Linked DNA regions of Arabidopsis thaliana. The protein of the gene in region 2 interacts with the protein of the main gene of each other region in a biochemical or structural test. Each region holds a gene or a part of one and is shown on either strand. Other genes may lie near its edges.

Region 1 (7,349 bases), on a different chromosome or scaffold from region 2:
ACTGTTCACAAACCCTGAAGAAGACGCTGACTTTGATTTTGCTGCAATATCAAGAGCCATTTGTTCAAGTCTCAACAGATTAGAATCTTTGCTGCTGTTCACTAGAACAGCATCCCAAGTTACACCATCTGACACAAGTGTCCCCTGAAGATCAACTAAGGGAGGTATTCTTTTTAAGGAAGATTCATTCATTACTCCACACAGGTCATAGAAACCATCCACAATCTTGTCATCATAGCCAAGACAGTTATAATTCTGCAAAATTCCAGATGATGTAAAATTGGTTAGAAGAGACAGAAAAGAGTTATAAACTTATAATCAACTTAACACATTTTGTTTCAAGCATAGTCTATTGTCGCTTAAGTGAATTGGAAATTTGTTTCTATGTCTAGCAATGAGTTAAAAACTCACCCAATATCTATATGCCATGAGTTCAGCTGGAGTATTCTCGGGAGCAGAAGGACGAGAACCTAAGCTGAACTGCTTCATAGCCTCAATCTGAGCAGCTTCAGGATCCTCCCTAGCACTTAACTCTAGAGCCAACTGTATCTGATATTCTTCTTCAACTTCTGGATCCTTGGAATTACTACTAGAACCCAAACCCTGCATCCCAGATTCCGACCCAACGGGACCACCATGTTCCATGGTAGTGTCATCCTCTTTGCTATTGGTGGCATTGGAAGAAGAAGGGCTTTTCCTGTGAGTAACAGAGCTTAACCAATTTGATAAACCCAAAAAGGGTTTGAATTCAGAGTTATCTTGAGACCTCAATGAATCAGAAGGAGATGGTTCTGCATCACTAGACTTATTGCTTCTGTTAGAGACTGAACCTTCACCATCGTCTCGTTGATTGGGCGTGATACGAAGCTTTTTGAGAAATTTCTTCATGTTCATCTTCATACTCCAAATGTTAGAGCAGCGAACATCGACCCGAAAACTCCTTCATCCCTCGAATACACAGAAAAACGAGAACTTTGTGCTAAAACCCTAATTCCTTGGTACCACGACCCGGAGATCTGGAACTCCGTCCAGATCAACGGCTCGTCAAAATCTAATAACTGCAGCAAAAGAATTCTCGAGAAAACCTTAAATCGGAATCCAAATCAAGTAGCAAGACTCTCAATGGAGATCAGATTTCGATTTCAAGAAAATACTTTTTTTTTTTATCTCCGGAGCTGATCAAAAACCCAATAAGAGAAAGTTTGGAGCTTTTTTCTCAGCAAGTAAGCGAAGCCTCTTCCTTCTCTTTGACTCTCTCCTGAATTGAGAAAGTCCACAAAGACGCCACTTTCTCTCTCTTAAAGTCCGACAAAAGAAAATCAACTAAAAAAAACTTACGTAAAACAGAGTAGAGTAGATAGATAGATACGAGTATAGTAGAGGATGAAGAGTGGATTTTTGAGCTGGAGAGAATTGAATTTTGTTTTGCTTTTTTTTGCTACTGTAATTAAAAAATTACTCTATTTTTTGTACAATCAGTCAAAGCTTAATGCAAATATAGAGCTATTTAAAAACTTACCAATTCATTTTTAATGCAAATATATCATGCAAAACCGTACATTTTGTTAAAAAAAATAAGAAATGATAAATCGCAGAATTGTTTACGATCGTGCTTTCCATATTCAATATTCCTTCGCGTATCTGGATTTGTTTGATATCATTTATTCAAATAAAATTTTGTCTTTTTGGCTGAAAAAATGCTTCGCTCACCACCTTATGCATTATCCTCCCATGACATATCACATATATCATCAAGCGTATTATTCACTAAAAAATGCTTAGATTACGCTACTGTCGGATTCATTTATGACCCAATAACTATGATGTGCTCGAACCGCAACAGACTCCTGGACCTGCTCAGCTCATGATGAAATATATGTTCATATCATCAACGCGACCGAACGAGCAAGGCGTTTTTACTCTCTCTTTTTTTGTGTCTCAGATTCATAATTAGACTTTTAATTCCGGTTTGTAATGTAACATCTAACATCTTCTTAATTTCGAACCTTGTCCGGTTGAGTTTAATCCGTTTAGTGATTGAACGAAAATACATTTATTGTATGGGCCGCTTTGTAGGCCCATATACTCAATAAATGCATATGCCCGAATCAGGTTATCATTAACCGGTATAGACAAACCGGGTCGTCGAAATATTCCAAAGGTTTAAATATTTTGTTCTTCTCCCTCCACTCACTCTCTCTAATAATCAAGCAGGGGAAAAAAATAAATATCTGAGCATAAATAATGAAAAAAACATAAAAAGAAAATTAAAAAAAAAATGAAAAAATAGGAGAAGAACATGGTCTCCAACTCCGAAGGACAAAACCGAGAGACGCGGCGAGAAAGACGGTGACTTGACGGTAATTGTTTGGCTCTCAAGGAATTTCGGATACCCAATTTTGTAAATTACTAATCTTTTTCTTTTCTAATCTAGTAGTGGTCTATGGGTGGTGGTGGGAATCTCGTCGACGGTGTTCGTCGATGGCTTTTTCAGCGACCTTCTTCTTCTTCTTCTTCTTCTTCTTCCAACAATAATAATAATAATCACGAACAACCCATTTTCAATTCTTCTTCTTTCTCTTCTTCCTCTAACCCCAATCATTCCGCTAACTCTGGAGAGCTTATTATTGAAGAAGATCTCGATTTCTCTGGTCTAACGCTTATTAACGTTCCTAAACGTAATCATTTACCTATGGATCCTCACAAGAAGGTACCTTTCTTCTTCTCCTTCTCTACCCTTTTATGCTATTTGCTCTTAGATGTTGTCTTTTGATTGAGATTGAAGAGACTTGTTTTGTTCTCTTAATGTTCTGTGTTATTGCATTTGCTTCCACAAAAGGATAAAGTTTCAGTTTTGTGTTTCGTTTGATTGATCTTATTGTCTTGATCCATCATTTTGGTCAATTTTAAGTATGAATCATGAATAAAATTCTTCAGGGTGAAACTGAATTCTTCACGGAGTATGGAGAAGCTAACAGGTATCAGATTCAAGAGGTTGTTGGCAAAGGAAGTTATGGTGTTGTGGCTTCTGCTGTTGACTCACACACTGGAGAGAGAGTTGCGATCAAGAAGATCAACGATGTGTTTGAGCATGTCTCCGATGCTACTAGGATTCTCAGAGAGATCAAATTGCTTCGGTTGCTTCGTCATCCTGATGTTGTGGAGATTAAACACATCATGTTACCTCCTTCTCGCAGAGAATTCCGCGATATTTATGTTGTCTTTGAGTTGATGGAATCTGATCTTCATCAAGTGATCAAGGCGAATGATGATTTGACTCCTGAGCATTATCAGTTTTTCTTGTACCAGCTTCTTCGTGGTCTGAAATATGTTCACGCAGGTTAGTTTCTGGTTTTACACATTGGTCTCTTTCGATCCTCATGATTTTTGTTATAGATAATATTGAAACACTTAAGGGTTCTCTGTTTTCAGCTAATGTGTTTCATCGGGATTTGAAACCGAAGAACATTCTAGCTAATGCTGATTGCAAATTGAAGATCTGTGATTTTGGGCTGGCTCGCGTTTCTTTTAACGATGCCCCAACCGCTATATTTTGGACTGTGAGTCATCTAACTCAATGTGAAAGCAAAACTGTTCATTAGGCTTCCTCTTAACTATTTTCAAATGCTTGTGAGCTCATTTCGTTTATATGGATTTTGTAGGATTATGTAGCTACTCGGTGGTATCGTGCCCCTGAACTCTGTGGATCGTTTTTCTCCAAAGTAAGATTCTTTTTCACCAAACCCAACTACTCTTGCTATTTCTCCCTACCAGGAAAATGCTTCTAGTTTTCTATTTTGTAGAATATTGTTGTGTGGTTCTATAGTGTTGTTGAGAAGACCAGCCATCTCAAGCTAAGTCTACTCTTGTTATATTTCAGTATACCCCTGCGATTGATATCTGGAGTGTCGGTTGCATTTTTGCGGAAATGCTTTTGGGTAAGCCTTTGTTTCCCGGGAAAAACGTTGTGCACCAATTGGATCTAATGACTGACTTTCTTGGTACTCCACCTCCTGAGTCAATATCAAGGGTTAGTCACTCAAAACACTTGTTCATATTTTCTGTAGCAAATTTAATGTTCCATACATCATTGAGAGTAATTTAATCCTTGTAATGAGCTTTGCAATCTTGGACTTCTACAGATTAGAAATGAAAAGGCGAGGAGATATCTTAGCAGCATGAGGAAAAAACAACCAGTCCCTTTCTCTCATAAATTCCCTAAAGCTGATCCTTTGGCTCTCCGCCTTCTGGAACGCCTGCTTGCCTTTGATCCGAAAGATCGTGCATCAGCTGAAGATGTAAGTGAGAAGTAAATTTGCTTTACTTTTCCCTTTTGTTTTATACAGAACGAAACTCTTATATTCGTCGTTTTTGATTTTCATATTACAGGCACTAGCTGATCCATATTTCAGTGGTTTGTCAAATTCAGAGCGTGAACCAACAACACAGCCAATTTCAAAGCTTGAATTTGACTTTGAGAGAAAGAAGTTAGTTAAAGATGATGTCAGAGAATTAATTTACCGAGAGGTAACAAACAAACACAAAAGCCTTCTACATATATCCTTTTCTTTAATCTGAATTTGTTTCAATGTTATTCATTGATCCTAACAATCACTTTTCTTTGGATTTTGTAAATATCAGATATTGGAATATCATCCTCAGATGTTGGAGGAATACCTTCGTGGTGGTGATCAGCTTAGCTTTATGTACCCAAGGTTAGCTAATTAACAGTTAACAGAAACTATAAGTCTTGAAAACAGAAAGTTATGAACTCGATAAATCTTTTTGTTGTTTACGCGCAGTGGGGTAGACCGATTTAAAAGGCAATTTGCTCATCTTGAAGAAAATCAAGGTAAACCAGGAGCAGCAGGAGGAGGAAGAAGTACTGCACTTCACAGACATCATGCTTCCTTGCCAAGGTAATGTCTTTCACAGAATCTCTCTATCTCTTCTCTTCTCTTCTCAATCTCCCTCTGAGAGCATTGTGCTTCTCTATGATGATGTTGCAGAGAGAGAGTTCCTGCTCCAAATGGTGAAACTGCAGAAGAAAGCAGTGATGTTGAGAGAAGAGCAGCAGCTGCTGTGGCTTCAACCTTGGAATCCGAGGAAGCAGACAATGGAGGAGGTTACAGTGCTCGTAACCTCATGAAGAGTGCAAGCATCAGCGGTTCTAAATGCATTGGTGTCCAATCTAAAACTGACAAAGAGGTTAGTTAGTAAAGAAAGAAAGAAAGAAAAACAGAAGATCTTGAAAAGGAACATGACGATGAAGTTTGCTTACTGTTGTTCTTTTCTCTTTGTTTGCAGGATACCATAGCTGAGGAAGAAGATAATGAAACAGTTGCAGAGCTTACTGATAAAGTTGCTTCTCTTCACAATTCTTAAAAATGATTTAGTTATTTTTTTTCTTTTCTTTTCTTTTTTCACGAAAGTTTTCTGGTGAAAAGAAATTGGTTTCTCCATTCATCCACATCTATCTTCGTGGTTGGGTTTGATTTGTTGTATTTAATAGTTTTGGGGGTTTGATGAAACTTTAAATAAAAACATCGATCTCCATGTAATTTTTTTGTTTCTCTCTTTTCTTTAAACACTCATATTTTGAAATTATTTATATACTATTCAGTATTCACTTTGCTTCAGTACTTTGGGAGAGTTTGTGTGATTGGTATGATCCGGTCCAGGTCAAACCGGGATATTGGGTCTTATATAATAAATTATATTAACCTGAAGAACATACTCGACTTCTTAAAAGTAAAAAAGATAAGACTAAAAAATTAGCACACATAATAATAATGCTGTGTTAGTTGGCTTTTTAATGACGAAGACTAACCTAATATCTATTATTTATATTCCATGGTCCATCTGAATTGATACCATTCTTGGACTAATCTCATAACGACAAAATAAAATAAATAAAACGACAAAAAGAAGAAGAAAAAAAATGAACAAAATCGGGTTTTTGAAAAAGAGGTCAGAAATAATGGTATGGTCGAGTAAAGTGAGCTCCAGGGAGCTTACTCACCAACTCCAAACTACAGTCTCGATAAGAAAAAGAAACTGCAAAAAGTTGATGTATATATGGCGAACAAAGTCCACAGACGCCAGATTGGTTAAAGCAATTAGGCTACACTGTTTTTACATTATTTAGTAGAAATACTAATTGAATTTGTGCATGTTTAAAAGTGAAAAAAAACTAACATTATACTAATGGATCATGCCGCCAAACTTTGGAATTTGACTTCAAATTATGACCACTACAAATATAAATTAAAGAAAAAGTTGGTTTCATGTAAACTATAGGATCGTAAAGGAAGATTGTCACAAAACTCTTGACTAATAAAATTGGAAGTTAAAATGTCCGAAGAAAAGTTATATTACAAGTCTTTTCTAATCGCCAGTGAAAAGAAAATCGGTTCAAACTACATATTTTTTGTTCTCATAAAACGGTTTGTGGTCTTAAACATGCTGAAGATTCACATCCATTTATAGTTTTATTTTCGACTCCTCTATATCATTGGAGCTCACACATTTTCTTTTTGTTTTCATAGGAATCATTTTGCATTTTAAATCCATGTTAAATTTTTGCAAAGCATCAGTTTATGAGTTGTGTTCTATTTACGAATGAAAAAGGAGACTTGCATTTGTAGTATGTAATTCATATATTTTTTATCAGGTTTAAAACAGTTTGCAATTTCGTCCTATTATTTGTTCTCTTCGATGGCTCGCACCAACCCATGCACAGATCACATCACTTTATCGACCATAAAGTTTCAATGATTTTCCTAATATAAGACTTTTTAAAAGTATTCCATCATACATCTATATATCACTAATGTGGACTTCAAATTTCCATATTATCAGTACGAAGATTTAATAAGCGGAATTAACTACAAAGCCTATAATTCCATTTATATAAACAACATGTTTTGATCTCTGGTTTAAGAAGAGATTATATACTTTCGTCCCATACTTTATTGTTACAGAAACAGATAATGTGAATTTTTTATATATATGGTAACCATAATGCACCAAACGGAAACTCTAACAAATTCTTTTAATAAAAAATTGTTTGCAGATGACGCTTGAACCCAATTATAATATAAGGGAATTTTGGGTTTATTTTCCGACTTTGTAAACACTTCTTAATCACAACAGAAAACGTTAAAAAAGAAAAGGACATTAATTTGGACATATATATCATACACGTTTTTCATGTGAAAGTTAAATTTACCCCACAAATCCTGAATAAATATCTACTAAAGTACACATAACTTTTTACGTAACCAATTTTACATGCATGTGTTTCTTTTTCAGAAGGATTATCAACCGTGAATAATTAGATCATGTTC
Region 2 (5,316 bases):
ACCATTGTGATGGGAATGTCAGGGTAAAGAATGAATCATCTTTTCATCAATTCTATTCGAAATCGTTTGCGCAAAATGTTAACTTTTGTGTGTTGTTGTTTATAGGAAGCCTTCTCAGCTTCTTGAGGTTGGACCAGTTATGGAAGATCGAATACCGGTGATTAAACGATTTACGGGAGGAGGAACTGTGATTGTGGATAAGAGTACTTTGTTTGTGAGTTTGATTTGTAACAAGGATGATGTACCAAATGTTCAGCCTTATCCTCGTTCTGTTATGGCTTGGAGTGGTTCGTTGTATGATGAAGTGTTTAAGAGTGTTAATGGTTTCCAACTACGTGAGAATGGTGTGTGTGTGTGTGTGTGTGTACTCAGGCTTGATTCTTCTTCTTTGTCCACAATGAAAATGTTTTAATGTCATTTGGATTTGCAGATTATGTGTTTGGTGATCGTAAGTTCGGTGGGAATGCTCAATCGATAATTAAGAATAGATGGATTCACCATACTTCATTTCTATGGGACTATGATGTGAGAAACATGGCTTACCTTAAGCTGCCTTCGAGAGTGCCACAGTACCGGTTGGTATGTTCCTTGTTTCATCTTGATCTAAACGTCTTCTAATTGATTACTTGATCCAAAACTCTTTGGTACATTGCAGGAAAGAGATCACACAGATTTCGTGTGTAGAATGAAGGATTACATTGAAAGATCAGATTTTGTTGAGAAGACAGTAAAAGCTGTAAGGAACCAATTCACATTGAAGCAAGTGAACCTTGAAGATATTGATTCCTATGCGAAAGGAGGATATTTGAAGACTACGAGGCTTCTTACGATGGAAGAACTCGAAGAAGCAATGGCTGATACCATTCAAAACACATGAGAGTATTGCTATAGTTTATTTGGTTCTCGATTCTTTACCTCGGGTTAGACCGTTAGAGCCACCACTACTTGAGATAATTTTGTGCTGGTTATTGATTTTGTAATACTGATTTAAAACTTTGAATCAGAAAAGAAAAGATACTTGATGTCTTTAGCTTGTCATGTTAATGGCTAACAAAAGAAAAGTCAGAGACTTTGATAATAATGACAGGAGTAAGCAACTTCTTGATTAGTTCCCACTCTAAATGTTAGAGCTTTAGTGACCAACTCCTAGAAAATCTATAAATGCTGGAGGTTTAATGGTCTCAAAATATCTGGTCACCATTGTATGTTCTCCAGTTGTTGATGATGATGGCAGTGATAATGACGATGATGATGATGGTTCCTGGATGGAGACATGCAGTGTCAGTGCCAAGGAATCTGCAGGGAAGGTTGAGTAGTGATGATGTGGACCCTGCATCGGCATGCGTGAAGAACTATATTCTTCTTGGAGATACTGAGCTTTCAGGTTAGTAGTTCCCTCTTTTAGCATTTCCCAGCTGCACTTTTTCAGATTCACATCTTCATCATCATCTACATTACCTGCAAGAACACACAGAACCATGAAACTTAAAGACTCACCAAACTTGCAATCTGACTACTTTTGAGACCAAACCATAAGTTCATTGTTCCTGAGTGATAAATATCGAAAGTATCTCATTACAATAACAGAGTTAAACTCAATGCATATGTGTAAGGTAAGAAGAGACAAACCAGGAGAAAGATTGAAGATTTTGTGATCTGTGTTAGATTCATGAGCAGAACCATTGAATCTTTGGACGTAAGAACTTGATTGCTGTCTCATCTTCCTTGCCATGAGAACATGCCAATGATTCTTCAAGGCATTATCTGTTCTTCCATTGAAAAGCTTAGCAATCATAGCCCATTTGTTACCAAAAGCTCTATGAGCAGCAAGTAGTCTCTCTTCTTCTTCATCACTGAAAGCTCTCTTGTTAATCCTCGGATCTAACTGGTTAAACCACCTCAATCTGCAGCTCTTTCCTTTAAGACAAAACACAAAGAAGCAAGAAAAAACATTGTAAGTTTCATGTTCCGGAATTAGCTAAGGGAAGATTAAAGATTTCAATTTTTGTCGTTACCTGTTCTTCCTTGCATACTCTCTGCAATGTGGTTCCAGTTTTGAGGACCGTAAACCGAAACAAGCTCCATAAGCTGAGTATCTTCAGAGATCCTCCAATGTCCTCTACTACAAACCCTAGAAACACTCTGTTTCTTCTTCTTCTTAGTCTTCAAATCATCACTCTTCTTCTGCATCCTTCTTTTATTACAGAACTCTTCTACTGTTTCAGACACTGCATTGTTTTCTCTAAACCCATTAAATGTTGTTCCTCTGCAATGAAACTCAAAAGGGTATTCTTGGAAACATGAAAAATCCATCTTCATGTTAGTCTCTCTTCTATAACTAATGTCTCATATATACACACACACAAGACAAGAGAGACACATACATATAGGGAGGCATGTGATGTTTGGATTCTCTGATGGCTATGTTATCGTAAGTAATCTTTTTCATTACCAAAAATGGAAACCTGAAGAGAGAGAAGAACAGGTTTGAGATGAAAGAGAATAACTCGAAATAGAAAGAAACCCCACGCATACATCTTTCATGGTTGCTCTGTTAAGAAACAGTTTCAGTTCTCTGACATCATTTTTTTTTTCTTTAACAAAGTTTGAATTTTTTGTCACACCTTATATTCTTCTCCCCACGCTTTACCATTTTCTAAATTATACTATTTCCTTGTATATGTAAAAATGTAGGTATATAAGAACAAAAATATGTATACCTATTATTGGATGAAATTTCTTATAGAAGATAGATATATATTCCTATGTACAACTAAGTTCTATGTATTATTTAAGAAAAAAAAACACAAGATTAAGACTTAAGTTTCATAGTGGCATAACCAACATATTCAACATGAAGAAAGCATAATGTTGTTTAAAGTTTTTTGGCCCAGTTGTTTTAGATAGGCAGGGCCGGTTGATGGCACGGTCTGGAGCCCCAACCCAATAATTAAAGGGCCAGATTTTAAAAAAGTGATTGCATATGAAAAAAAACCAAAATTAATCTAGAGGCCAAAAATGAATTCTCAAACACAAGAAAGATTAATTTAGACAAAAAAACTAGACATAGGCATTCGGTTTTGGTTCGTATCCATTCAGTTATCGGTTTTTTGGTTTCTAAATTTTAGTATTTATTCGGTTATTTTAAAATTTTGGTTCGGTTTCGGTTTGGGTTCCAGTTTTTTCAGTTTTGTAATTTAGTATCCATTCGGTTATTTTGCTTTGAATATTTTCGGATATTTCGGTTATTTTGGATATTATCATATATTTTTTGGTTATTTTCGAGTATTTTACTATTTATATATAATTCCAAGTATTTTTAGTTATTTAGTTTAACAATAACTAATATTTTTTAAAAAGATAATTATATTTTGGATATTTTTGGTTACCCAAAATATTTTGGTTTGGTATCAAGTCAATTTTGGTTCTTTCTGTTATAGAATTTAGTATCCATTTGGTTATTTTCAAATTTCCGGTTCGGTTTGATTCGTTTTTTCTTCAGTTTCAGTTTAGTATATTCGGTTCGGTTTATTTGTCTTAATTAAAAGGGCCTAATAATATTGAGCCGATGGGACATATTTTTGGGGAGCAAACTTGATCCAGTCCAATCCTCTAAGATTCAGAGAGATCTGACCCATTTTGTTAGGTCTTTAAAAATATATGCTATTAAAGTAAAAAATGGCTTATAAGACTAATTAATTTGGATCCATCAAACATACCAATTAACTTTTTTTAGTTTGCGATTTATTGTAGACTGGTTCGCTGGACCGCAAGGACAAGTCACAAAACGTGCATACCCCTATTATGATTTAACATTTAGAGATCTTGCTAAGGTCAAGCCAAGCTGGCTCTGCCAAACATATCATTTTCTTAATGTTCTAGCATCCCATATTTGAGTCCAAATTTCGTTATAGTACTATCCAAGAAAATTTACTTAACAAATTTTCAAGGTCATTTTACAACATTTTAAAGAGATAATAGGTCTAGTCTAACTGGTGATGATATATTTAACAAAATTTTAGGTGGATCATTTGACATTTAAATGGAGGATTAATTGATTTAAACTAGTGTTTATCTTTGCTTCTTCCGAAAATATCTTCCAATTTTTTCATTTAAACCAATGAATTGTTGGTATTTTTTTCTTAATAATAAGAAGAATTATTTGGCAGAAAAAACAAATTTCATGCTTCCATAACATGAGAATTTTCACCACTTAGTACTCAAATTAATTAAAAAGCAAAATACATAACATCACTTTCATTTTCTTATATTATAAAACGAGAATTAATAAAACTTCTCTTTTTCTCGTTCCCACACATATATTCGCTACATATCACTATCAGTCCCAATCTCAATTGGTTACCAAAAAAGAGTCCCCAACTTGGAACCGAAAAAAAAAAAAAAAGCACAATAACAAACCGAACCGATTATATATAATTAATACCGAAACTGCCCTCCGGTGTAGGTCTGGCCAAAGGACCAAGTGGGTGGTGCAACATTAAAAGAGACGACACTTCGACGATCACTTGTGGTAACAACAAACGACAGACTTTGACCATTGAGATAAGAGTTGCTTTGCCAATTTTGCCCCCAATTTCTCGACATTAATTGCCATTTTGTCCTCGACCCTTTCATTGAGACCGAGTGTACGTCCCCGGCTCCACCCACGTTTGTGACCAACACCAAGTTAAAGTATGAGTGGCCGTTGATCGTGAACCTTATCCCACCACTTCTCTTGCACCGAACCCTATATAACACAAAATTATTTAAATAAAAACTATATGTTATGAAAGTTTTCAATATTTATGAAATAGGGGTAATGAGAAAGCACCACTAGCAAGTTTGGTATGTCACTATTATTCAGTTTTGGGCCTATTAAATAATTTAATACCTTATTTCTACCACATGTATCAACTGGTCCAAAAGTATTAAATGCGTATTTATAGGACCAAAAGCTGATTATAAATGTTTCACTATACGCGGCTTTTGTGTGTTTTCGACACATATGTTCTATGGAAAAGTCAGAAACAATAACTAAGGAAGGTAAGAAGAAATCTTACTTTGCCTTCGTATAGATTATACACTATAGTTCAGTTCTGTGCATACCATTAAATAACACCATTGTGAAGGTTCTAAACAGGGTTAGTAAATTTTGTACCTTCTATACATAACGGGAATGATACCGGATTTGTAGAGAGCAATTTTCTCGTAGATCGGCTGAGAAAGATCGAAATGGTGGTTGGGAGGGTCGCATGCACCACCAGGAGGACAAAAGTTAGTGGCAGTGACCACAATGGATCGGCCTTTTATGCACCA
Region 3 (5,934 bases), on a different chromosome or scaffold from region 2:
GCAGCTCTGTTTTCAATATTTAGTTTCTTCCTCCTCTTCGTCTCGTATGTTGATCCTCTGTTTCTGCTCTGTTCCTTGATCATTGGAACCAAGTACCAAACGATACAAGTGCACATGATCGAGACGGTCCGTCCGAAAAACACCAATAATATTAGAACCAGCACCACTGTCACGGGTAATAAATGGTTTGGTCTTGAAATCTTCTTCAGATTCTCATTCAATACACAGCTCTGTTTCTGCTCTGTTTCCAAATCTGTTTGCTTTATTTCTTTTTCCTGCTCTGTTTTTGATTCGGTCTTTACATTGAAATCATCTAGAACATCCTTATTCTTGACCTTGAAATCATCTAGAACGTCCTTCTTCTTGACCTTGAAATCATCTAGAACATCCTTCTTCTGACTTGCCCTCTTTGTCTTGATCATTACAGGGACGCACTCGCCGGAGCTAGTGAAGACAAACCGAACAAGAGGCGGTCCATCAGGATCAAGCCTCTTTGCGTAAATGCTCTGTCTTTTCTCATCGAGCTCAGATAGAAGTGCAGAGAACTTGTCAAGTCCTTGATTTGAATAAGGATTCTTGCTTTCTTTGTTTCCTCTTCTCGATCTCCTAGGTGACGAAAACGGACTCAACATATCAAATCAATTCAGTCCAATCAACAATATCCTCTTTTTTTTTTTTCTGTTACTGGTCCTTTGTGTGGAGAGGTTGTGAGAATTTGAGAGCTTGAAGGAATTTGGTTACGGAGGAGTTGTTAGGCAGGATTTAGTATTTGGACAAGAGAGACGGCTTTATTGTTATCATAATGAGACTTGTCTTAAACTAATTGTAAATATTTCAGATACACAAATGGATTGGTGATTTGACCAGATCTCATTAAATGTGATGAATTGATCAGATCACGTATTGTTGACACTTTTTTTGTTCTCTTTTAGGACGAATAGAAGATAAGTTTCTACCAAATGAAACGTCATCCCAGATGTATTTTGCTGATCTTACAAATTGACTTTCTTGCGGAAGAAGCTGCAAAAAAATTTCCATGATGGTGTAATCATATTTTTTTGGTTTATCATAAGTAATTGACTAATTGTTAATTTAACTTAGTTTTGACTTGGGGAGAAAGAAAGACAAAAGTGATTCAACCATAAACATATAGTTGGAATATTCATTGTTAATTTAAATTTCTGATGGGTTTACAAAAATTGGAAAATCCTCCAAGTTATTTATATACTATGAAAAGAAAAATGAATTATGAGAAGGAAAGTTGGTGTAGAAGAAAAAGCTTTTAGCCTTTAAGGCTTTTTAACCAATAGAAGCAACATATCATGTGTTGACAAAAAAATGAAGCATATCATGTGATAAATGAATGAGGAGGGTACTGATACTACTCACCAAAATTATCTTATAGAACTTCATTAAGAAATTGAAAGAAAAACAATACATTGTTTTTGTTACGATTTGGAAAGTTAGGTTCGGTGCAAAGGCCTACCCCTTCTATGAATCCGAAGGCCTATGATCATGGTGTGATCATCAAATATTCATATAACAAAATGCTTAATTGTTGATATTCTTAGATTTAAGCTATATGAGAACAACTATATGAAAACTTGATTCATCAAAAGGCTTGGATTGCATGAGAGGGTTAAAAGTTCTGCAAGAACGCAACAAACAAACAGAGAAACAGAAACACAGCTCTCTCTATGAACATATGTTACAGACACACATCAAGCTTGTAATTAAAAAAAAAACACAGCTCTTTCTATGTACATATGTTACAGACACACATCAAACTTGTAATTAAAAAAAAAAAACAGCTCTCTCTATGTACATATGTTACAGACACACATCAAGCTTGTAATTAAATAAAACAGAGCTTCCATGGCATCACTATTCGCTTAAACTATAAGTTAGTCTTCATCTTATTTTTCAAGACTATATACACTATGAGTCTATGATGACAATCAGACATAAGAAGAAGAAGTTTTCTGTAAATTACCCGTACAAACAAGACTTGAGCTCAGAGCTCAGTGTTTAAGGTTGAAGCTTGTGGATGGTAGTGAAGCATCTCATTCCACATCATTTCTCTTATCATCTCCTCTCTCAAATCCTCATCTACATCGAGATCGATAGGAACTTGAGCAGGAGGGTTTGCATTCGGGTCATATAGAGGCGCCATGTATGGATGCTGGAGTGCTTCAGAGACACTAATCCTCTTTGACGGATCAAAAACAAGCATTTTCTGCAGAAGGTCGATGGCCAAAACATGAGCGCCCGGGTAAAGTCTGGATAAAGACATCCCAGGTGAGTACGGAAGTGATCTAATGTATCTTTTAGCTTTCGGGTTATCTATGAACTCAAGATCTTCTTCTCTTTGGCTTCCGAGAATGTTGACAATGAGCTTCAGCTGGTTAAGACATTCCGTTCCTTGGAATATCGGTTTCCTACCAAGAAGCTCGGCGAAAATGCAACCAACAGACCAAACATCAATGGATGTTCCATAGTTGTCACAACAGAGGAGAAGCTCTGGGGCTCGGTACCAACGAGTCACAACATATTCAGTCATGAACTGACCCTTGGTGTTGCTCGCACGCGCTAGTCCAAAATCGCATATCTTTAAATCGCAGTTTGCGTTGACAAGAAGGTTACCAGGTTTCAAATCTCGGTGCAGGATATTGGCTGAATGAATATACTTGAGCCCTCGAAGCAACTACACAAAAAGAACAAAGCAAAGCAAAATTTCAGGAGAAAGCAAAGCTAGAACCAACAGTAAATGAACGGGATCAACCACACACCTGGAACAAGAAGTATTGGCAATGATCGTTACTAAGAACTTGAGAAGACTTGATAATCTGGTGGAGATCAGTGTCCATGAGCTCATAAACAAGATAAACATCCTTGAAGCTCATCTTATGAATTGGCATCATGACATCTTTCAAAGCAATGACATTCTCATGTCGAAGATGGCGTAGAAGCTTGAGCTCCCGAAGAGTCCTCAACGCATCGATCCTATTCTCATAAACATTGTGAATCTTCTTGATAGCAACTTTCTCGTTGGTGTCACTGTTAACAGAGGAGCAGACAACACCGTAAGCTCCACGACCAATAGGCTTGATAGGCATGTACTTAGTGTCGATCTCGAACAGAGTTTGCCACATTGAGAAGTAATGCTTCCCTTCATTCCTTATCCCATTAGGAGGATCAACCAAAGTCGCCATTTTTTGTTTTCCCTCTTCATCACAATTCACACACAATCAAGAAATCAAATTTACACACACAATTAACAAATTATTATACTAACTATTTATCAAAACTTTTCAAGTGATAAGTTACTGTAGATTTCTTGTGTAAACAGATTGGTCTGTTAATAATAGTGAAAAGGAAAAAGATCAAACTTTATCGATTTGGTGAAGGAACATAAACGATCGGAATCAATGGGAAAAAAGTTTACGGGATAAAGCGGGAAGGAAATTCTAACCGGTGATAAGTGACCAACGACGTTCCCCGGAGGTTAGATTTGGCCGGAGAGAGAAACCTGTGGAAGTGAGAGAGATTTGGCCAACGCTCGGACAGTTGACCTGCTACTTGTTCGTTACTAGGTAGTCTTTCCTTATATAATTTGGGCTTAAGTTGAGCCCAATTAATATTGGCAAACAGATTCACGTCTCTATCTTCTAAAATCAATTTCGGTATTTTTTAGTAACTGATCACCAAAGTAGCATCATTTGTGAATATGTGTTCTACGAAGATTTATAAAAATTGAAAATGAAGAAAAGTATTTTAAAGTAAAATATATCATAAATGTAAACAATGACACATGACTAAAATATTGCATCACCAATTCACCATCTTCTTTTGCTTTAACTTTACGTTTCCATCACACATCTTTTCATTTTGCTAAAATTAGCATCTAGAGGAAAATAAACTACAAAAGATTTAAAAGTTTTCATTAAGTCAGATTATTAATATAAGAGAGGAGGCCCATGCAGACAGAAAGGGAAAGCCCATAAATCTAAGCAGTGGCAAAAATGTTAGAAACTGTATAAAATGATACTAATAAATTGGTTGGAGTCTATTATAGTAGCAAATAAAAATAACGTTAGGTATTTTTGATTAAATAAAAGATGTTAGGTATCATTATGATCACTCATTCTCTTCAACCAATTATGTCAATACTACAGCTCATCAAAAGCCTTTATGGTAAAGCATGTTTCAGATATTTTCATTATTCATATACACACTACACAACATATAGTATTAAAGAAAATAAATAGTGTATAGATATTTAGAGATTTCCAACTAATTCAACATAACCAATACAGCTTTTAATCATTATCTAAAACCAGACAAAGATTCTTTCCAGTTGGTTTTCCCTGTTCTATTTCCTTACAAACAGTTATTGACTATTGAGCATTGCCTTCACTGTTGAGAAAAATTTGTGTAAATCTTACGCACTGTCAAGCAACTGCATGCATTCTCTAAATAATTACCTGACTCTAGATATAAAAGAACTGAATTAATGTAAAAAAAATATAAGCAAAATATCTAGGAGACAGATATTGACGGGTTACTTCAAGTTTGGACAAAAATAATTAAGAACACAAAAAATGCCGTTGAAACCTTTTCTTTTTGTAGTACAGTTTTTAGTTTTGTTGCTAACGTTCAAATTATTTATTTATTCATCGCTTATCTTGTTTTGTGGATTAGACAACCACGAAAAACAATGCTAGGGTTGTCAGAAACACCAAATATTCGAATTTGCATCCAAAATTCGATACTCATCTTGAACTTTTTTGTTTGTGACATTTTATTAAAAATTTCAATTTTTCCTAAAAGAATTTTACTTTAAATATTTAAAAAGAAGAAGCATGTTCATTTTTCAATATATCTGGTCCCCATATTAAAACAAGCAACAATAATTGACAATCTCTTTCTTTCATCTTCATCTTATTCTTCTTTATCTCTCTCTCTCTCTCAAGACTATTGAGCTTCTTTCTTTTTTCCTGAGTCTTTTAGTCTGATCTCTTACAAGAATGGCGTTCGCAGGAACAACCCAGAAATGCATGGCATGTGACAAAACAGTTTATCTTGTCGACAAGTTAACCGCCGATAACCGGGTCTACCACAAAGCTTGTTTCCGATGTCACCATTGCAAAGGAACTCTCAAGGTTTGATCTTTGATTCTAGTTTGTGATGATTTCTCATTAATCCAGAAGTAGATCTAGTAGATATATATGTAGATGAAGAAGTCCAATCAATTAAGTAGAAATCTTTGAATTTTTGGCTATGGAAACTGATTGGTCTAAAGATTTGACTGTTCTGTTTCTTCTTCTTCTTCTTCTTCTTCTTGATGAGTCAGCTTAGCAATTACAACTCCTTTGAAGGAGTTCTCTACTGCAGACCACATTTCGATCAAAACTTCAAGAGAACTGGAAGTCTTGAGAAAAGCTTCGAAGGTAAATTACCAAAAACAGATCAAAATGTGAAAAGCTTTGTGAGTGGGGATTTCAAATTTGGAATTATCTATCTAAAGTTTGATTCATATATATGTACAGGGACACCAAAGATTGGGAAACCTGATAGGCCTTTGGAGGGAGAGGTACTTTCGGACAGCAGAACAAAACCCTTTTTCTGTTTTTGAGGTTCTTGAATTTTTTTAACATTTAACATGAGAGAAGTTTAACAGAGACCTGCTGGAACCAAAGTTTCGAATATGTTTGGTGGAACACGAGAGAAATGCGTTGGTTGCGACAAAACCGTGTATCCAATTGAGAAGGTATCCAATCTCAAATCTTTCCTGATCAGAATCAAGTTGTGTCAAAGAAGATTGTTAGATTGTTTCCATAACGAATCTGATCTGTTCTTGGCTTAAACCAGAGCTGAAACATTGCTTATAATGTGGACTTTGTGTAGGTATCGGTGAATGGAACATTGTACCAC
Region 4 (6,340 bases), on a different chromosome or scaffold from region 2:
AACGATGTTTAGTTAATGTTAACTGAGTGCCGTCTTGGCATTGTTTGAAACAAATTTGGTATTCAAATCTTCAATGAGATAGTATCATACTACTAAAAAATTGAAACTTAGGTCTTTTTTGGCATTGTTTCCTTATATGGTTAAACATTAAATACTTACATTTCTTCTTCTTGATATATCGTATGGTGGAGGTTATATCACCTCATTTATGTTTTGTATTTAAGGATCGGTGGTGGAGATCTATAACATCATTCATGTTTGGTTCGTGTCTTTGTAGGGAGCTGTTGGGAGTTCTCGACACGATGGTGACAAGGAGAATTTAACACTTTGACTGAGCAAGACTTGATTGATTCATTCTAATAAAGAAAATTATGGTTGTGGAGGAGGCAAAATCGAGACCGCGGATGAGTTCATATATAAGTAGCAATGGTGGTCTTGGTATCGACAAGTATTATCCATATAAGGCTGTTACTGGAGCTTGCGACGGCCCCTCAAGATTGGTAGTTACAAACTTACAATCATAGAGATTAGGTATCATGTCTAACAAAAAACAAAAGTAATTCTTGAAAAAATAAAAATAAATTGTAAGTAGCATATAATACCAAGAATGTTATGAGTGATAGTATGAGAACCAGCCTGTGACTGTTGTCATTGATTCAAGCGATCGGAAATTTCACTTTATTTATCAATAATATATATAACATTCATATTTTTCAAAATAACTATATCTTAATAGAAGTCTCACGATTCGATACTTCGATCGACCACAACCAGACGTAGTCTCGTGTGATTGTGTGACTAACTTTAAAAACAACAATAATGAAATCAAAACACGAAAATCTAATTCTTACGTCCTTGTTTTTTAAATTCTCTTACGTCAATTCTTACCTTTGCGACCAAAAGAACATGTTAAATTTAAACCTACTAATTTCCGATTTAAATTTCTTAATCTTGTTACTATGAACCAAAAATTACACAATCTTTTCCCACGGAACAAAGATTATTTATTAGTATCCATATACATACAAATATACAATACACTCAAGCCACTCATATTTCGTACTTGATCAAGATATTTTCCCCCGGTAAAATCCAATTTAGAATTGTACAACATATATATTGGAAGTTCCGTTGTGTCATACCGTCACACTAATAATACAGCATACCAATAATAGAGCGCAAACGTTTCACATTGAATAGTTCACCACATATCAACTTGAGTAAATTATTATGCTTAGAGTTGTTGTCTTTTTGTTTTTTTATTTTTTTTGAATATCTGGAAATTCAAACTCAAAGACCTTACATTTTCTAGAGGCGGGATCCACACCAGATTAAATTCATATCCTTTGGGAAAGAAATCTCTTCCAACATGCCTCAAACCCAGTATTTCTAACTGAGAGATTTACCTACATAATTCAACAATCATGTCTATTATGTTTTCAATTTAGGATATCTAAAAATATTGTGAAGATAAACGAAACAAAACTTGAGGGAAAAAAAACAGTCACGTGAGTCATGAGTTATAAAGCATGGATAATGTTGGAGATCTAATTAATCTAATTGAATGCCACATCAAATTAAGCCAATCAGTGGAGAAGATCAATAATAAAAGTGAATTGGATCTGCCACTACACTTTTAGCATGAATATGGCTAAAAGAGATTGGTATTGGTAATGGTATCGTTGTCGGAGATTGTCGTACCAATTAAATAACATGTAATTATTGGATATATATTATATTGTGTCGGCCTAGTCATATTTGATGTGTAAGTGCGAGTGATTTGAGTTAGATATGGGGTATTTTACGAGGAAAATATTGAACAATTTAGGGTATTTTAAGGGTTGTAGTTTGAGCATCACAAGTTAATTATATTTAGGTTCTGCGTAAATTTGACTCAAAAGATTAAGTTATCAAAAGAAACCTCGTATAATATGATCCATATTAATTTTCTTTTTTTTATATAGAAAAGTTGAAGATTATGAGTAAATTGGTAAACTCGCGATATTCCAGAGTTCAAAACGTAATTTTAATGACAATTTGGTGAATAGTATAAATTAATATATTAAGTAAAAGATAACATTCTATTCGATATTGGTTTAATATGTCAACTGTTATATGTACATATAAGATGTTACTGATATATTAAGTGAATAATATGATATTCACCAAAAAAAATTGTATAATGAATGTGACTTTGAGTTGAAAGTTTGAAAACGAAGAGACTATAACATTTGAAGGAATCTATGGAATACGGGTGTGGAACCAATAGTGGAGGCCCTCTTCATAAACCGAGTTTCCCGAGATCCAAATTGTGCTGATGGAGCGGTTTCTAACGTTCTTGTCGATAATACTTGCAAGCTTGGCCGAAGGAACAGAAGAGTTACCATGACGTCTACCATTACGCTCGCACCACAAAGTATGAATTGATTATATGGAATACATACCTTAGAATGAAAGTATGTAGTTTTGGATGAGAATCATCAAGTAGAAGAGGAGAGATTAAACTCCAACTTGTATTGTATCTCAGTATCTGTTGCGAAGAATTCCTTTAGTGAGAGATGTGTATTGATAGGTGAAAAGGAAAAGGTCTCTTACTTTCATATTACGTGGGCCTCATAACATAGACCAGAGCTGATAGCATACCTCTCTCTATATTAAATAGATGGGCCAGGCCCAAACGTTTACCCATCTGTATTTATTACAAAGTACACGTGGCTGATGGACATGTGACGATACGTTTTGACCTATTCAAAATATTCAAACTAATGAAAAAGAGTCGTTGTCCTCTGACGCGTCTCTCTCTATCTCCTTAGATTTTCAAAGTTTTCAACATTCAACAAAATCATTATTTTAATTTTGCAGAGACGAATCGAATCGATCTCATCTCCAAAAATCTTGTATTCAAAGTTTGATTTTCTGGGTTTCTTCTGTATTATCTCGATATTTGAAAAAAATGGCGAAGGAAATTGAATCAGCGACAGATTTAGGTGATACTAACATCAAAGGAGTTCTTGTTCATGGAGGAAGATATTTTCAATACAATGTTTATGGAAACTTGTTTGAAGTTTCTAATAAGTATGTTCCTCCTATTCGACCTATTGGTAGAGGAGCTTACGGTTTTGTCTGGTACAACTTCTACCCTTTTGTGTATTTCATATTCTTGTTTCTTACTTAGTATTTGTAACCCTAATTAGATAAAGAACTAAGTATTGGTATAGGTTTTTGAATTAGGGTTGCTTGCAAAATTTGATCTTTTTTGGATTTAAGAAAGGTTCTGTCTTCAAAATCATAGTTTAAATTGAATGAATTTGATGATTTGTTTGTGTTTGTGTTTATGTATAAGCAAAATGATTCATGAGAGTATTGGTTTATTGTTATAGTGCTGCAGTAGATTCGGAGACACACGAAGAGATTGCGATAAAGAAGATAGGTAAAGCCTTTGATAATAAAGTAGATGCAAAGAGAACATTGAGAGAGATTAAGCTACTTCGTCATTTAGAACACGAGAACGTAAGTTTTGTACTCTATTTTCGCGGTAAACGATTAGAGTTTCTAGCTAATGTGGTCTTGACTTGTACAGGTTGTTGTTATAAAAGATATCATTAGACCACCAAAGAAGGAAGATTTCGTTGATGTTTATATAGTTTTTGAGTTAATGGATACTGATCTTCATCAGATTATTCGATCAAACCAATCTTTGAATGATGATCATTGTCAGGTACGGTTTTTACTCTGCTATATTTGATACTATGGTTGATTTAATCACAAGTGATTCACTTTTTCTTCTTTTGCAGTACTTCTTGTATCAGATTCTACGAGGACTCAAATATATTCATTCAGCAAATGTTTTACATCGTGACCTTAAGCCGAGTAATTTGCTTTTGAATTCGAATTGCGATCTTAAGATTACTGACTTTGGTTTGGCAAGGACTACATCAGAAACAGAGTATATGACAGAGTATGTTGTAACACGATGGTACAGAGCACCAGAGCTGCTTCTTAATAGTTCTGAGTATACATCTGCTATTGATGTATGGTCTGTTGGTTGCATATTTGCTGAGATTATGACAAGGGAACCGCTTTTCCCGGGGAAGGATTACGTTCATCAGCTTAAACTTATCACTGAGGTATGATGTTCTGTTTTAGAAAGATCTGTACAAATGTTGGAAACTTTTATTTGTGTGTTGCAATGTGTTTATGAGTTGTTTCATGTGGTTGAGTAGTTGATAGGATCACCTGATGGAGCGAGTCTAGAGTTTCTCAGAAGCGCGAACGCGAGAAAATATGTTAAGGAGCTACCTAAGTTCCCAAGACAAAACTTTTCAGCTAGGTTTCCTAGTATGAATTCTACAGCTATCGATCTACTAGAGAAAATGCTCGTGTTTGATCCAGTAAAACGTATCACGGGTATGATGAGAAAAATTGTACATAGCGAGATTGGCATATGGGTGATGAATCCTTGATCATACTCTTTGTTTTGCAGTTGAGGAAGCACTGTGTTATCCTTACTTGTCAGCTCTTCACGACCTTAACGACGAGCCTGTTTGTTCCAACCATTTCAGTTTCCATTTTGAGGATCCGTCTTCCACTGAAGAAGAGATAAAGGAGCTTGTGTGGCTCGAATCTGTGAAGTTCAATCCTCTGCCGAGCATTTAAAACATTATTTAAGAAGGGGAAAGCAAGTTTTATACTCTGACATTGAGCAAAACAAATTAGTAGTGTTTAAGCTCTGTTTCTCCTTCATCTCATGTTGATCGTTGTTTAAGCTATTTCACTAGTTAAAAAAGCTGTCTTGCAACTCAAGAAATTGTTCTATAAGGATCCTTGTAACCCAAGACATATCTTTAGTAGTTATGTCCATTCTTATTATCAGGATGTCTTAGATAGTGTTCTGTTTCTTCTACATATCATGTTGTTATCTTGTAACTCAAGAAATTAAATTAAAAAGCTATCTTTGTTTAGACTTGTATCATGTCACTTGGATTGTACTCGTAGAAAATGGGAAAAACTCGATGTGTTTATTCATCTCCAGCAGTTTCTTCAAGCACTACGTCGAGCTCTTGCAAATTTTGGTAATGAACACTAGTTCGATCCTTCACTCTCGAAACTCGACAAAAAAGTCTATCAACTTCGTCTCTTGACTCTATTCGAGTGATATTTTCATCATCTAGAAGGACGTTGATCCCACTCCTTCGTAACGCGGCTCTAAGAAGGCTGGAGAACTTGTTGCGGATCTCTCGACTCCGAAAACTTATGTAAACTTGATGTTGCGGCGTAATCTAGAGATTTTACAATGATTAGCCACTAGATTTATACAATAATTATATATATATAATTAACATACAGTATGTTCTTTTGTACACACCTTTTTTTTTTCTTTGTCATTGGCAATATTTCAATTTCTCTAATTCTAGAACTACATAATTTTTGATTTAATAGGATTACGTACGTGTGATGAGGAAACGTTGTCAAGCATTGCCTTAACCTTCTCGACGATTTCATTTACGAAGGTTGCTTGGTTGCTTCCAAAACAAAGTAAGAAAGAAAACAAATCATATAAGTATGATAACAATGTCGCAAATGGAAGAAACTACTGTTAAATGACCTCATTTTTAGTACGTAAGATTTTGAAAGTTATAAAGACTAATTTCCACATATTAGGAATCTAACATTCAAATATTAAAAGATTTAATACTGTTTATACATAGTCAATACTCAATACATTCATTTTTAACTCGGTTTGGAGAATGTATTGTTTACTAGATTTTAACCCGCGGTATACTGCGAGAACAATTTTATTTTTAAATTAGTATATATTAAAGTTTGCAAATTAAATCTATTTATATAATATTTTTATTTTATAGTTTACAATTGTTATTAAATAACGTCTTGTCAAACTCGTCCCGCCAAATCCGTCCCGTAAAAAACCCGCGGTACACCGCTAATTTAAATATATAATTAAAATAAATATTTTACGGGATTGCAATTGTATTTTGGTTTGTCAAACAAATATTTGTTTTAAATAGTTGCCAAAATCTAGCTCAAATTTTGGAGAAATAAGATTTATTGTATAGATAAAGAATGTATTTAGGTGTGTTTTGCTCATTTTAAGGGATTGCAATTGTATTTTGGTTTGTCAAACATTTTTTGTTTTAAATAGTTGCTGAAATCTAGTTCAGATTTTGGAGAAATCTGCATGACATATGAGATTAGAATATATTTGGAATATTTTTCGTTTGTTAATTAATTTATTACCAAAAAAAACAATAATTAAAAGTCAGTGACAGCCATTGTAAATAAATCTTAACTCCAGGATTTATTTCACAAAATAGCTGCAAAA

The links.
Region 1: of the proteins of MYB110 (region 2) and ATMPK8, one has a biochemical effect on the other in vitro, tested with the Arabidopsis thaliana proteins (one large-scale study listed by BioGRID).
Region 3: of the proteins of MYB110 (region 2) and MPK1, one has a biochemical effect on the other in vitro, tested with the Arabidopsis thaliana proteins (one large-scale study listed by BioGRID).
Region 4: of the proteins of MYB110 (region 2) and MPK5, one has a biochemical effect on the other in vitro, tested with the Arabidopsis thaliana proteins (one large-scale study listed by BioGRID).

The regions. Positions count from the first base shown.
Region 1 is NC_003070.9:6,242,677-6,250,025, reverse strand, and holds ATMPK8 (Protein kinase superfamily protein), read left to right. Parts: upstream 1-2,213; 5' UTR 2,214-2,360; exon of another isoform or gene 2,361-2,434; 5' UTR 2,435-2,443; coding exon 2,444-2,710; intron 2,711-2,937; coding exon 2,938-3,340; intron 3,341-3,432; coding exon 3,433-3,560; intron 3,561-3,662; coding exon 3,663-3,722; intron 3,723-3,880; coding exon 3,881-4,030; intron 4,031-4,142; coding exon 4,143-4,298; intron 4,299-4,389; coding exon 4,390-4,527; intron 4,528-4,641; coding exon 4,642-4,715; intron 4,716-4,802; coding exon 4,803-4,919; intron 4,920-5,009; coding exon 5,010-5,208; intron 5,209-5,307; coding exon 5,308-5,385; 3' UTR 5,386-5,728; downstream 5,729-7,349. Other genes in the region: AT1G18160 (Protein kinase superfamily protein), read right to left, coding at 1-255, 412-900. UniProt on the Arabidopsis thaliana protein: MKK3-MPK8 and CAMs-MPK8 modules negatively regulates ROS accumulation through controlling expression of the RBOHD gene during wounding.
Region 2 is NC_003074.8:11,007,101-11,012,416, forward strand, and holds MYB110 (myb domain protein 110), read right to left. Parts: upstream 2,357-5,316; 5' UTR 2,320-2,356; coding exon 2,016-2,319; intron 1,918-2,015; coding exon 1,630-1,917; coding exon of another isoform or gene 1,514-1,629; intron 1,459-1,513; coding exon 1,133-1,458; 3' UTR 979-1,132; downstream 1-978. Other genes in the region: AT3G29010 (Biotin/lipoate A/B protein ligase family), read left to right, coding at 1-23, 106-344, 431-579, 656-877; EXPA5 (expansin A5), read right to left, coding at 4,438-4,747, 5,159-5,316.
Region 3 is NC_003070.9:3,346,857-3,352,790, reverse strand, and holds MPK1 (mitogen-activated protein kinase 1), read right to left. Parts: upstream 3,710-5,934; 5' UTR 3,473-3,709; exon of another isoform or gene 3,227-3,472; 5' UTR 3,213-3,226; coding exon 2,790-3,212; intron 2,705-2,789; coding exon 2,015-2,704; 3' UTR 1,611-2,014; downstream 1-1,610. Other genes in the region: AT1G10220 (ZCF37), read right to left, coding at 1-632; WLIM1 (GATA type zinc finger transcription factor family protein), read left to right, coding at 5,028-5,162, 5,354-5,450, 5,550-5,593, 5,681-5,770, 5,908-5,934.
Region 4 is NC_003075.7:6,889,190-6,895,529, forward strand, and holds MPK5 (MAP kinase 5), read left to right. Parts: upstream 1-2,736; 5' UTR 2,737-2,953; coding exon 2,954-3,126; intron 3,127-3,380; coding exon 3,381-3,510; intron 3,511-3,580; coding exon 3,581-3,718; intron 3,719-3,794; coding exon 3,795-4,127; intron 4,128-4,223; coding exon 4,224-4,407; intron 4,408-4,483; coding exon 4,484-4,656; 3' UTR 4,657-5,018; downstream 5,019-6,340. Other genes in the region: AT4G11340 (Disease resistance protein (TIR-NBS-LRR class) family), read right to left, coding at 5,019-5,279, 5,450-5,522.